Arabidopsis thaliana: one gene and its partners. The protein of the gene in region 1 interacts with the protein of each later gene in a biochemical or structural test. Each region holds a gene or a part of one and is shown on either strand. Other genes may lie near its edges.

Region 1 (2,918 bases):
ATACCCGGATTTAATTGTATAATTTCCGGATTTAGTGTGGGACCAACTAAATCCATCAAGATAGTGCTTATCTCTTCCAAATACGACTAACATGTTGTTACTAAGATGTTATTACGATGATTTGTGCTTAGTTGACAGAATGAGTCATATATCTTGTGAAAATTGGGATAGTCAAAACTCTTTTGTCAAATTAACGGATAATAGTTAATAGTGGTGTTTAATCTGAGTATTTGTTTGAGTTTCTGATTTATGAATCTAGTATATGTCAATTGGTACAATCAAAGAACCACATTATATATCACTCACACCATTTTTTTAAAAGATTGAATCAAGAACACACATTGTTAAGAGAACACTTAAACAAAACTAGTGGCTCTCCTCTCTTTCTCTTAATATGTGTTCGGTCTTAACACGTGATAGGTAGAGAGTATTAATTAGACAGGGTATATACTAGTTAATTGGAGATACTTTCAACCAATCCGCTGTAGCACACATGTTTATTTCAATGATGAAATCTGGGTTCAAACCCGGCAGCGGAATAGTTTTTTTCTTTCATTTTGGTAAAGGACCGATCCAAATATACCTTAACAAGTTGACTTTGCAAGAAAAAACCATTGGAGAAGAGCAGAGTTTTGATCTTTGATGAGCTTTGTGTTGAATGCGATTCATGAAGGAATTTCTTGGCTGCAAGTTTCTTTCATCAAGATTTGTGCGTCTAGTTATGGTATGAAGCTAATACCAATATTTTGCATATCATTTTGTAGTTGAAAGAAATCTTATAACAGAAATTTTGAGTTCATTCTTCAAGATTTAGATAAGTCTTCAACTTGTTGAGAATTCTATGACAAACACTCATGGTATTCACTTTGGAGATTAAATCAAGAACACACGTTTTACGAGTTTTTCGAGATCGATATGATCCTAGTACATTTCAGCAAGAACAACACCTTGTAATTTACCATCAGTGGAGTTTTTGAGTTATAGAAAAAAAGGAGAAAACAAAAAGACTAGATATACAAGAGCTTTGGAGCTCAAGGGCTTTATAACAATATGGTTTTCAGTTAGAATAATAATCGTCACCTCCTTACAACGACATTGCTTCATTCTAGCTAAAGCACACATCCTTACGTTGTCCTGTAAAAATGCTTCAAACCAGAACATTCCAACAAAAATAGAGTCTCGTCTCTTCTTACGGTTAGTACACAGTAATTGTTTCTATTAATTCAATGGAGTTATGTTCAACATATCCACTATACCACATTTGGATTCAAACCCTTATAGTAGAATATGTTTTTTTTTTTTTTCCAAGTGCATTCAACTTGTCCAAATAATAATAATGTAAAAAAACAATTTTTAAATTTTTTAAAATATATGGATAGTAAAAAAAGAGATCTGAGAATTTACCTTTTTTTATGGTAGCTGAAAAGTAAAAGTAAAATATACTCCATAGTTATACTAATTATTTTCGATATCCATTGTAATTTAGTACATATAACCGGTCCGGTTGACTCACTTGGTTCAAAAGGAAAAATCAAAAATCCACAATCCGTGACTAACATAATAACCCAATCTACAACCGTCGATTCATTAATAATCAAGGATCCATATATCTCATAAACCTTTCTCACGGATCGTTATCTTTGACCGTCCGATCAAACAATAAAACGAACGGTCACGATTCATTTTCTAACCCAAACAATCTTCTTTATAAATAAAAAATAAATTCTTCTCTACTCATCAGAAAACTCAAATCTTAAAACTTTCTGGAAAAACAAAAATGTCAGGAAGAGGAAAAGGAGGAAAAGGGTTAGGCAAAGGAGGAGCAAAGAGACACAGAAAGGTTCTAAGAGACAACATTCAAGGAATCACAAAGCCAGCGATTCGTCGTCTTGCTCGTAGAGGAGGTGTGAAGAGAATCAGTGGATTGATCTATGAAGAAACGAGAGGTGTGTTGAAGATTTTTCTGGAGAATGTGATTAGAGATGCTGTTACTTACACTGAGCATGCGAGGAGGAAGACGGTGACTGCTATGGATGTTGTTTATGCCTTGAAGAGACAAGGAAGAACTCTATATGGATTTGGTGGTTGATCAATTTGAGATCTGGGTTTTCTGGTGAATGATGATGATTTAAGTCTTGCGATCAAGAAATTCCAGAAATTGGGTTGAATTTTAGGGTTTCGTTTTGTGTTGTAATTAGGGCAGCATTGTAATGGATTAATGATAAGTACCATTTGCTCTAATTACTCTTTAATCTCTGAAATTCATGGTAAAGGATTATCAATCGAAAACTAATCAAAGGAATTGATTGAACTATGTTTTTGAAGATTGAAAAACAAATAAGGACTAAATGTGAGCAATTTAAAGTTTAGAGGTATAAGAATCGAATGACAAATATGGACTCAATGTGAGCGTTTTAAAGTTCTTAGCTTTATATATAAGATTCATACACTTAATTGGCTTATAATATTTCTTGCAAAAAATCATTTTCGCATTCCCTAGTGTAAGAATTTGTTGTGAAAATTATTCAGAGTTTTGTGAAATCTAATGACACGTCATCGATCCAACACATATTTGTAACGATACATTCATCACCGTCAGATCAAATAAAATGAACGGTTAATATAAACAAGAAAACAGTTTCTAAAACAAAAAAGAAAGGGCCCTACCGGATTCGAACCGGTGACCTATTGATCTGCAGTCAATTGCTCTACCACTGAGCTAAGGACCCTTATTGATTAATTAATATCAATTACATACATATAACCCATAGATATGACGAAAATGTCATCAACATTGTTCTTCGATTTCTTCTACAACACCTTCAATACCAAAACATGATCGTAATAAAGAAACAGAAGCAATGACCATAACTCCTGCGAATATCGTTGGTAAAAAAACGTCTAAATATGAATTCTTC
Region 2 (4,592 bases), on another chromosome or scaffold:
CACTAAGCAAGGAATGCATATCCATGGAATGATCTTAAGCTTACTCTTTACCGCTATGTTCAGGGTATGCCAGGAGCACCTGGCATGAAGGTATACTCTAGAGAAGATATAGAGAAGGGGAATATCGGTAATGAAGATGATGATGGCGACGATGATGAAGATGAGGAAGAAGATGATAAGTTTCCCAAGAACTTGGTACATAAAGTTTCTTTTTTCAAATGATCAAATCTTTGGGTTAAACTTTCATGAAGAAGAAGGAAACCGAGATCTTTCTTTCTTTTCTCTAAAACACTTGTATGGTTTTGTTGGTTTTTAGGGAAAAGTTTTGAAAGAGAAAGAGAGTAAAACAGAAGAATTGAAGAAGACAATCACTAAGGAGTTCAAGAAGAAAGGTGAGGCTCTGAAGAGACATGCACAGAAAGTGTCAAACCGGGTCCGGAGATGGTGGAAAGGACTTGGATCGTCTTCTTCAAAGAAACCTAAATCCGGAAAGTCTGAGCTATAGAAACAGTTTTAAACTGGTTTTGTTTAATGTACTCTTTCTTCACACTTGCTTTTTGTAGATTTCCTTTAGTTTCTATAATCTTTTGGAGAGAATATTGAAAAGTGTTGACAGACATCAGTTTTGTGATCAACAAGGAACATACACGAGATGGTTTAGAGCAAAATCATTAATTTAACTTGAGATGAAGCAAATGTTGCAATGTGAAGCAAATGGAAAGTTGTAATCTGGAGAAAAAGAAATATAAAAACTAAATCACAATATGAGAATTGTATCTTCTGAAGTTCTGCTTCTTATGAGAGAACTTTAACGCATTTTGTAGTGTTGGGTCCTTGAGATCTTGCAATGCTGGCCATTCAAAGAATAGCTTAGCTTTATGTCAATGTCTCGAGGATTCTTCTTGTTAGGAGAAACGGACATAGTTCCAGTGATTGTCTCACCCTCACATATGGTTAACACATCTTCTAGATACAGAACTGTTTGTTTCCAGTGTGTAGCTCGGGATTTCGGTCCTGCATGTGACACATATGGTTGTTCAGTGCAAGTTTCAGATCATAATGAAACAATGTGCTATGTTTAAACTTCAAACCAAGTTATTCGATAACATGCCATTTCTTTGCACCAAAAAAAAATAGAATACTCAGAGCTAGCACAAGATTGTAGAGATCTGAACCTGTTGAGAAGCCCAGCAGCTTGTGGCACATGGTAAACGATACATCAAAGTAGGCTACAAGGGCGTGGATGTAGTCATTGCGTTGTGCAACAAGCTTAAAGGGAGCTGTGAAGGAAGCATCACCAGAGGACATCTTTGAGATATCCATCGTCTGTTACAAACCCATAAGAATAATGAAATGAACATTAGTCACACAGGTAAAGAGATACTACTAATCATCATCATATGATATCTTATATACCTTTAGAAGCCTACTATCGGTGACGATTTGGTTTTGGTCGACTGTGTCAACAAGTGGTTCCATCATAGCTTTTTTCTTAATACATGACATGTCAAAACCATACACACTGTTCCAAACTGTAGCAGAACAACAAAAAAGAAATTAAAAATGCAAATCTCAACAGACATCAAGATCAATGTTGGAAAAAAAAAGACGAGAAAACGTGTCAAATCAATGCACTCACATTCGATTTTGTCTTCTTTGTACTCTGAATCCTCTATGGCTGTAAGATGCAGAGAGGCTTTGTCTGGTAGCACAACTCCACCTTCAACCTATCCATAAAAACACAGGACCAAGAAGATTTCATTTAATTGGTTTTGGTAACTAAGAATCTCATGTAACAAGGTGGAGCTGTAACTTACAAGCCATTTATCACGAGCATACAAGACACTGTCCAACATATTTTCAAACAACAAAAAGTAACCCATCCATTCCGATATAATCACATCCACTTTAGGAGTGGGAAGCTCTATCTCCTCAATCTTCCCTTTCAATACCGTAATAACTGCATCGATAAAACAAAAATCATGTTACAGAACAGAAGTTATCGATTTGAATACAACTCAACATGGATAAAAGACCTACCATCAGAAAATCCATTAGCTTTAACAATCTCCTTTGCCATGTCAGCCATTTGAGAACACTCAACCTATTAAGAAACATCCTCAATCAAATCAGTCAAAATTGAAAAAGATTCTTCTTACTTATGATTATTAAAAAAGAGACTGAAAGATTGAAGACATACAGCGTAGACATGAGCAGCTCCTGCCTTGGCACAGAACAGAGACAAAATTCCGGTTCCAGCTCCAACATCAAGAACAATTTTGTCCTTGATAAGAAACTTGTTCTGATAAATAACATTCTGATAAGTCTTTGTTCTCACAACATCCTTCAACATCTCCTGTCAGATACCATTCTCAATTCAGTCATCAGATATATACAGAAGAAAACACAATGAATTACATTAAACTTCTAGAACAAAAACTATAACAAAAAAAACTGAGCTTTGTCCTCGATACTTACTTCATGGATTCCTGCAAAAAAAAGTGGAACCAAATTCAACTCTTAGTAAGAATTCATAACCAAAGAGCACAAGGAAAAAAATAGAACTTGAAAAAAGGGAATTTACCAAAGTGAGAGTAAGAATCGAAGTAGTAATCGGCACTGGTGGTATCATCAGTTACTTCAGCGGTGTCGGCGCTCTCTCCGGCGTCGAACATGGACTCATCTTGGGGAGTTTCCTCGCCGGCAACACCAGACCCTTCAGCAACTTCGTCTTCATCAGCATCTTCAAAGCGTATCTTCGTGTTCTGATTTGGTTCAAAGCTGATGAACTCATTCTCGTCGTGGTTACTGTTCTTAGTCATCTTTTTTTCTCGGTCTCACACAAGAAGGAAGAGAGGAAAGGGTTTTTGGGGATAGAGACGAAGTCGCGAGATTAGGGTTTTATGAAGACACGAAGCTTTTAATTTGAAGTTTTTTTTTTCTCTCTTGTTAATGAATTTTATATTAGAACTAAAATTGTGCTCAAGATATTTTCTGTACCGGTTCGGTTTTCGTCGACAAGCACCAAACCGGTTAGATTTTATCTGTCCACTTGAACATTCAATCGGTTTAATATCCAACCACACAAACAAGACACTGAAACAAAATAAACTACATGTACAAGATTAGTAAAACACAGGCAATTTTTCCTTATTCCCATTAACAAAAATAAAGGTTGTATTATTGAGTTTTACTTATCAAGTTTTTAATTTCCATAAGCTGCCTAAGAGTAGCTACGATCACTTGGTCGGTGGCCAAGGCCCTCCAGCCATCACAGCTTCGATCTCCCATGTCTCTCGTGGAACATTCGTCATGTTCTTGCAGCCATTAGCAGTAACGACCTAAAAAAGAAATCACACATATACAACAAAATGAGATTATTGTATATGACATTACTCTTGAGAGTGTTTTAACTTGTAGACGTTGTAGTGAATATGAATTTGACATTACCAAATCGCTTTCGATTCTGACACCTCCGAAATTTCTGAATCTCTCTATTGTTTCACGGTTGAAGAACTTAGAGGTTGTTGCGTTTGCCATGGCTGGGAACAGCAATGCCTTGATGAAATAGCATCCTGGTTCCACCGTTATTACCTGACATAAATACGATTAGGACAATGAACAGAGACGATAAATGAGAAGAACCAAAAGCATTTCTACTTGAAACAATCGGCCCTTACCATTCCTTCAAGTAGGTCTCTTGCAGTTCGTAATGACTTCAATCCAGGTTTCTTTGGTCTCTCCACTCCCTAAAAGAATGAAAGATCAAAGCAACGGGTAAGACACAGGGACTGTGGTTTTATTTACGTGATGATACTATTGGGTTGAAAAAAGATTTGATGTACCTTTGGGTAGCCACCAGTATCGTGAGTGTCGATGCCCATGAAGTGACCTAGTCCATGAGGCATGAAAACAGCACCCAAGCGCTGTACCATCATGTCATCTACATCACTAGGAACAGAGAACGAAACCATGAGAATGAATTAACCTTTAGAGAAGAGTATTGAAATGTCTAACACAGAGAGAATTACCCAGTGAGTATGGACCCCTTCTTCAGTGACTCAAGGATGATTTTTTCAGCTAACCTGTACATTAATTTGCTTCAGTCGACAAAGAAAGCTGAATAACCATATGGAGATGTATTTCAATTTATCTCCCTAACAAGAGGATAAATCAAAATGGACCAAAGCAACTGAGTTTACGCTTACATTGTCAATCCCAATTACTGCATCTGCATGCATAGTAGAACAGAGCTATATAGCATCTCAGTAAGACTTACTTGTGCATATCCACCCAGTTTACTCCTGGCTTCATCGCAGAGATTACAGAATTATGTGCATCCAGAACAGCCTGAAAGGAAGGCAAAATCAGAGAAACTTATTCAGATGTAAAGCTTCAAGAGACTCACCAAACTCTGGATTGTGCGAAGACAAAAAATAGAGCACACATTTCTAATACATCCACGTTGCACCAATCTTGTAAGGCACTTACATTGTAGATTAGACTCTGGTCACTTGTAAATTTACCATTGACCTGCACACCAATTGATAAATATTAGAGACCACTTTCTCTAGATAACTACATTCAGCAAA
Region 3 (5,275 bases), on another chromosome or scaffold:
GAGGATCAGAATTCTTCAGAGACTCGTGCCAGGTGGCACTAAAATGGATACGGCTTCAATGCTCGATGAAGCTATACGCTATGTCAAGTTCTTGAAACGGCAGATCCGGCTACTCAATAATAATACCGGATATACTCCTCCGCCGCCGCAAGATCAAGCTTCTCAGGCGGTGACGACGTCATGGGTTTCACCGCCACCACCGCCAAGTTTCGGCCGTGGGGGAAGAGGAGTAGGAGAATTAATCTAGACAAGATGACATTTCCATTAGTAGTAACTAAATTATGCTATAATGTGTGAGTAATGGTGCAATTATGGAAAGTGTTTATATATAATAAAAATGGATACGAAATAAGGGTTTGTTAGGATATATAATATATTGTTGTTGACCGTGAAAAGGTTGTGGAATAATCATAACGGTTAGCTTGAGTTGTGTACCACCATATATTTAATATTATGTTATCATTTCGTATATAATAATAAGTTCTTGATTTGGAGTTTGGTTGTATACAAGTTTTGGCCGGGCATTTTTCGGGCATAAGAACCATGACGCCATCAAAGAACCCTATTTAAATAGTGTTATCATTACTGTGGACTTTTGTCTTTGTATACACACAACGCATATATTTGTGAAGTACTATATTTTAGAGCATATAATATGAATGTACTCTATTGCTTCATTTTCATCTTTTTACGTACATACCTCACTTTGAACGTTAATACCTATACATATTGAAAATCGTTTTGTTATGATTAGAATAAGCTTTAAGAATTCCTAAATTACAATAAGCTTTAGGGCTTTTTTTTTAATATATAGCTTCACAACTAGCAACGAAAAATCCAAAAAGAAAAAAGTTGTTATGAAAATAATATCCGTACGTTTAGTCTATTAGATTATACTTGTTAGTATCCGATTAAACATCACCTGAAAACTAAAAAGTCTAACAGACTAAACGTATCCGATTATACTTGTTGTAAAAATGTTAACGAAAAATGTTTAGCTATAGTAACGTTTAGCATAATGAAAATTACGACAATCATCCCATAAAATGATGTTTTGTAATATAAAGTAATCTCAAATTACAACAAACCGATAAGGTATACAGATACTCTACTCCAGAAAGAGAGTATATATCGAGACATATTATAAAGAGGATGGTGCAGAGAAAATGTACTTGCTCGTTTTGTCTTCGAATTAATGAATAGAAGTTCAACTAAAACAGTTGCAAGATCTCTTTTTACCTTCCCAATAATAAAAAGAAAACCTTTGACTACAAACAAGCATTAAACCACCAGAGCTTTGCTCCACACTTGTTGGTCAGAAAATCTCAGAAAAGTAGCAGAGAGGTTAATTCAAGGAAACCTATGCTCCTTGTTCACTTCACTCATGGATACTTCCGCTGACTTTTGTGTCTCCTCACATTCATAGGTTTTAATAAAGACACAATGAAATGTCAGTGAGATTCATGGAAACCTAGCTATATCCATTTTGCTAACGAAATCATTTAATATATTTTCTTTCTTTTTGCCACATAGTTATACATTCATTCACATCCTAGAGATAATTGCAAGAACTTAACGTCTAACCAAATTATTTAGCTCAAACAATGCATTAATAGTCACTAAATAGCCATGGGTATGATTCATATATTTTCAAATCTAATTCGTTTTACTACAGAAATATTTCAATGTGATTCGAGATAATTCTTACATGATCAAACAACTTTCTAATTTTATGAATAAACTGTGATCCCGGTGAAAATGTATGTACTTCACACCATTAAATATCAATATTTTTAACGGCCCATAAATATAGGCCCAATTATGTGAAAAGTTACTAATGGGCCTGATTTATTTCAAGTGTCCGTTTTTCTCTCTCTAGTTCTCTTACTCGTATGAGAAAGAAAGCCCACCCGGGAATCTCCGACCCGACCGAGAAATGGGATCGTCAGCGAATACAGAAACCAACGGCAACGCACCGCCACCGTCGTCGAATCAAAAGCCTCCGGCTACGAACGGCGTTGATGGGTCTCATCCTCCTCCTCCTCCTTTAACTCCTGATCAAGCTATTATAGAGTCGGATCCGTCGAAGAAGAGGAAAATGGGGATGCTTCCTCTAGAAGTGGGTACTCGTGTGATGTGTCGGTGGAGAGACGGGAAACACCATCCGGTGAAAGTAATTGAGCGCCGGCGGATACATAACGGCGGTCAAAATGATTACGAGTATTACGTTCATTACACTGAGTGTATGTCGTTTAATTCCTTATCAAGTTTTGATGTAGGGTTTTCAATTTTGGTTGATTCGTACTGTTGAGCTTCACAAAGGTGGAAATTTAGTCAAGGGTTTATAATGTAGGAAGAAAAAAGAGTTAAATTGCAAGACTTTATCAATTGGATCATTGGAATTGGCTTCAAGTTGTGTGAGATTTTTGAGAAGGAGATCAAATTCTGCATTATACTTTGCTTCTAAAGATTTTGAACCATTTATACTATTGTGATTAAGCTGAGTAATATGATGACAAAGTTGGTGATTTTGAAATCTTATGATCATCAATGTGTTTGATTTTGGTAATTTGTTTTCGAAACTGCAGTTAATAGGAGGCTGGATGAATGGACTCAGCTGGACCAACTGGACCTTGATTCAGTAGAGTGCGCTGTAGATGAAAAAGTGGAAGACAAGGTGCGTTCTCTAGTTTTGTATTGTTAGTTGCATAATGTGGATTTCATGAGTTTTCTCATATACGTTTAGCAATGAGCAGAGATTTATGTCTGTGGTTTCTAGGTAACAAGCTTGAAGATGACACGTCACCAGAAGAGGAAGATCGATGAGACACATATAGAGGTAATGAATGCCAATATAAGGCGGGTCCTGGAAACGTAAGGTTTGTGTTGATTCAGTATTCTGTGTTTCGAAATGTTTTTATAGGGTCATGAAGAGCTGGATGCAGCAAGTTTGCGTGAACATGAAGAGTTCACGAAAGTGAAGAACATATCAACAATTGAGCTTGGAAAATATGAGATTGAGACTTGGTACTTCTCCCCTTTTCCGCCAGAATACAATGACTGTGTGAAGCTCTTTTTTTGTGAGTTTTGCCTGAACTTCATGAAACGCAAAGAGCAGCTTCAAAGGCATATGGTGAGCAACTGTTTTTCTTTATCTTTGAAGTCTTATGATGCTTTTTAATTACATTTCCATTGCGAGCTTCAATAGTCTGGTTTCACATCTGTATTCTATGTTTTTGCATTCCAGTTTCATTGCTGAAGATAGTACCCAACCTTTCAGATTCTGTTGAATATTGTCACTGACTTGCATATCCACATTCACGGTTCATTAAAGTTGCATTTATATGGTTTTATTTTATCTTGTAGCTTTTGTATAATTTCCTTACTTTTTTCCTGCAGAGGAAGTGTGACCTGAAGCACCCACCTGGTGATGAAATTTACCGAAGTGGTACCTTGTCAATGTTTGAGGTAATATCCTGAGATAGGTCTCTGGTCTTCTTGCTCTGGATATGATGTATCGTTAGCTTTCTCTTATGTTTTTTTTTTTCGTATATGGATGCTGATTAGTTTATCTCTCATCTGGTTATGTTCTACATTAGCAGGAACGTTTTTCTCTAACCGTACTCTCATCTTACAGGTAGATGGCAAAAAGAACAAGGTTTATGCACAGAATCTCTGCTACCTGGCAAAGTTATTTCTTGACCACAAAACTCTTTACTACGATGTTGATTTGTTTCTATTCTACGTTCTTTGCGAATGTGATGACCGAGGATGCCACATGGTTGGGTACTTTTCAAAGGTAATATAGCAAAGTAGTTACATATATGTTTGGTTTCCATTTTCCTGTTTGCTCATAAACGTAACTTCTACTGGGTCCAGGAGAAGCATTCGGAAGAAGCATACAACTTAGCTTGCATTCTAACCCTGCCTTCATATCAAAGAAAAGGCTATGGAAAGTTCTTAATAGCCTTTTGTAAGTTCTTTGCCCATTTGACCCTTTTGCTCTTCTCAATCCCATGTCCACAAAAATAAGTAACAGATTGTTCTTCTGAGTTGCAGCCTATGAACTGTCAAAGAAAGAGGGAAAAGTTGGGACACCGGAAAGACCCTTGTCGGATCTAGGCTTACTAAGCTACAGAGGTTATTGGACTCGTGTTCTATTAGAAATCTTGAAAAAACATAAGGGAAACATTTCTATCAAGGTTAGATTGTGTTTCAAACTGATAAAAAGTCTTAGGCTAATCCTGGTTTCTGCGATCTAAGAATCCACTCATCTGTCTCTGTTTCATGTATGATGATGTAGGAGCTGAGCGACGTGACAGCAATCAAAGCGGAAGATATATTAAGCACACTTCAGAGCCTAGAACTGATACAGTACAGGAAAGGACAGCATGTGATCTGTGCGGATCCAAAGGTTCTGGACCGACATCTGAAAGCTGCAGGCCGAGGTGGTCTTGATGTAGATGCTAGCAAACTGATTTGGACACCTTACAAGGACCAGAGTTAAGAGTAAGTACACTCCTCTTGTGCCATTGGATTTGATTTGAGTGTGTAAGTAAAGCGGGCTGTCTTATTCTCCTGAAATGTAAGTGTACTTTACTTGTAAATGTTGAAATCGTACTTGGAATGGTGTTTGTTTACAACTCTTATAATGAGGAAATTTGAAGCAATTTCATAGGTCCATCTTTCTTTTGCTAGTATGTATGTGATCATTTGTATTTAGTATATATATATATATATATATATAAGCCTTAGTTGTTTCAAATGCATATATTTGCATTTTCTGTTGCGGTTTTGTGTGAAAATGTTATGTTCATAATCACAAGATACATTGTTGACAAATATATCAAACATATTTTTCAACTAGTAAACGATATAGTATAGCAAACATAAAAACAAGGTTGGACAAAAATGAAATAGTTGCAAGTTATTGAATCAAATATTCAAATGTGCGTAAACAAATGTTTCACAACTTAGAAACCGTAAAAGTTGGAATCTCTGAATCTAACGCAACATTGTCTGCGAAATTTGGCCAAGATATGAACTAGGTGACATAGTATTTTGGTTTATGATTACAAGAAACGTTGATAAACAATCAGTTCAGAATCTGTCTCTTTTACAATATGTTGTAATTTTATAGAAAATGTCAAAATGATGTTGATATTCCACGATAAAGCCAACTCAAAAATGTCGATTATTCAGTCCACATCATCATTCATGACCACCGAACCTACACTTTTGGTATTAGGTTTATTGGTGCCAATGTGGTCCATAT

What was found. Proteins that work in one complex are often made in the same cells at the same time.
Region 2: of the proteins of HIS4 (region 1) and PRMT11, one has a biochemical effect on the other in vitro, tested with the Arabidopsis thaliana proteins (one study listed by BioGRID).
Region 3: of the proteins of HIS4 (region 1) and HAM2, one has a biochemical effect on the other in vitro, tested with the Arabidopsis thaliana proteins (one study listed by BioGRID).

What each region holds. Positions count from the first base shown.
Region 1 is NC_003071.7:12,328,814-12,331,731, reverse strand, and holds HIS4 (histone H4), read left to right. Parts: upstream 1-1,672; 5' UTR 1,673-1,777; coding exon 1,778-2,089; 3' UTR 2,090-2,387; downstream 2,388-2,918. Other genes in the region: AT2G28725 (forkhead box protein G1), read right to left, coding at 2,789-2,918. UniProt on the Arabidopsis thaliana protein: Core component of nucleosome. Nucleosomes wrap and compact DNA into chromatin, limiting DNA accessibility to the cellular machineries which require DNA as a template.
Region 2 is NC_003075.7:14,489,969-14,494,560, reverse strand, and holds PRMT11 (arginine methyltransferase 11), read right to left. Parts: upstream 2,940-4,592; 5' UTR 2,823-2,939; coding exon 2,585-2,822; intron 2,490-2,584; coding exon 2,479-2,489; intron 2,357-2,478; coding exon 2,201-2,356; intron 2,105-2,200; coding exon 2,041-2,104; intron 1,961-2,040; coding exon 1,818-1,960; intron 1,728-1,817; coding exon 1,640-1,727; intron 1,533-1,639; coding exon 1,417-1,532; intron 1,327-1,416; coding exon 1,176-1,326; intron 1,015-1,175; coding exon 809-1,014; 3' UTR 560-808; downstream 1-559. Other genes in the region: AT4G29520 (nucleophosmin), read left to right, coding at 64-195, 317-505; AT4G29490 (Metallopeptidase M24 family protein), read right to left, coding at 3,240-3,341, 3,451-3,594, 3,681-3,749, 3,846-3,951, 4,032-4,085, 4,280-4,350, 4,492-4,533. UniProt on the Arabidopsis thaliana protein: Methylates (mono and asymmetric dimethylation) the guanidino nitrogens of arginyl residues present in a glycine and arginine-rich domain. Type I arginine methyltransferase active on both histones and non-histone proteins.
Region 3 is NC_003076.8:3,021,373-3,026,647, reverse strand, and holds HAM2 (histone acetyltransferase of the MYST family 2), read left to right. Parts: upstream 1-1,884; 5' UTR 1,885-1,936; coding exon 1,937-2,243; intron 2,244-2,588; coding exon 2,589-2,677; intron 2,678-2,779; coding exon 2,780-2,839; intron 2,840-2,923; coding exon 2,924-3,133; intron 3,134-3,399; coding exon 3,400-3,468; intron 3,469-3,637; coding exon 3,638-3,799; intron 3,800-3,879; coding exon 3,880-3,973; intron 3,974-4,059; coding exon 4,060-4,202; intron 4,203-4,303; coding exon 4,304-4,507; 3' UTR 4,508-4,716; downstream 4,717-5,275. Other genes in the region: HEC3 (basic helix-loop-helix (bHLH) DNA-binding superfamily protein), read left to right, coding at 1-247. UniProt on the Arabidopsis thaliana protein: Histone acetyltransferase which may be involved in transcriptional activation. Acetylates 'Lys-5' of histone H4 (H4K5ac). Essential for gametophyte development. Negative regulator of flowering controlling the H4K5ac levels in the FLC chromatin.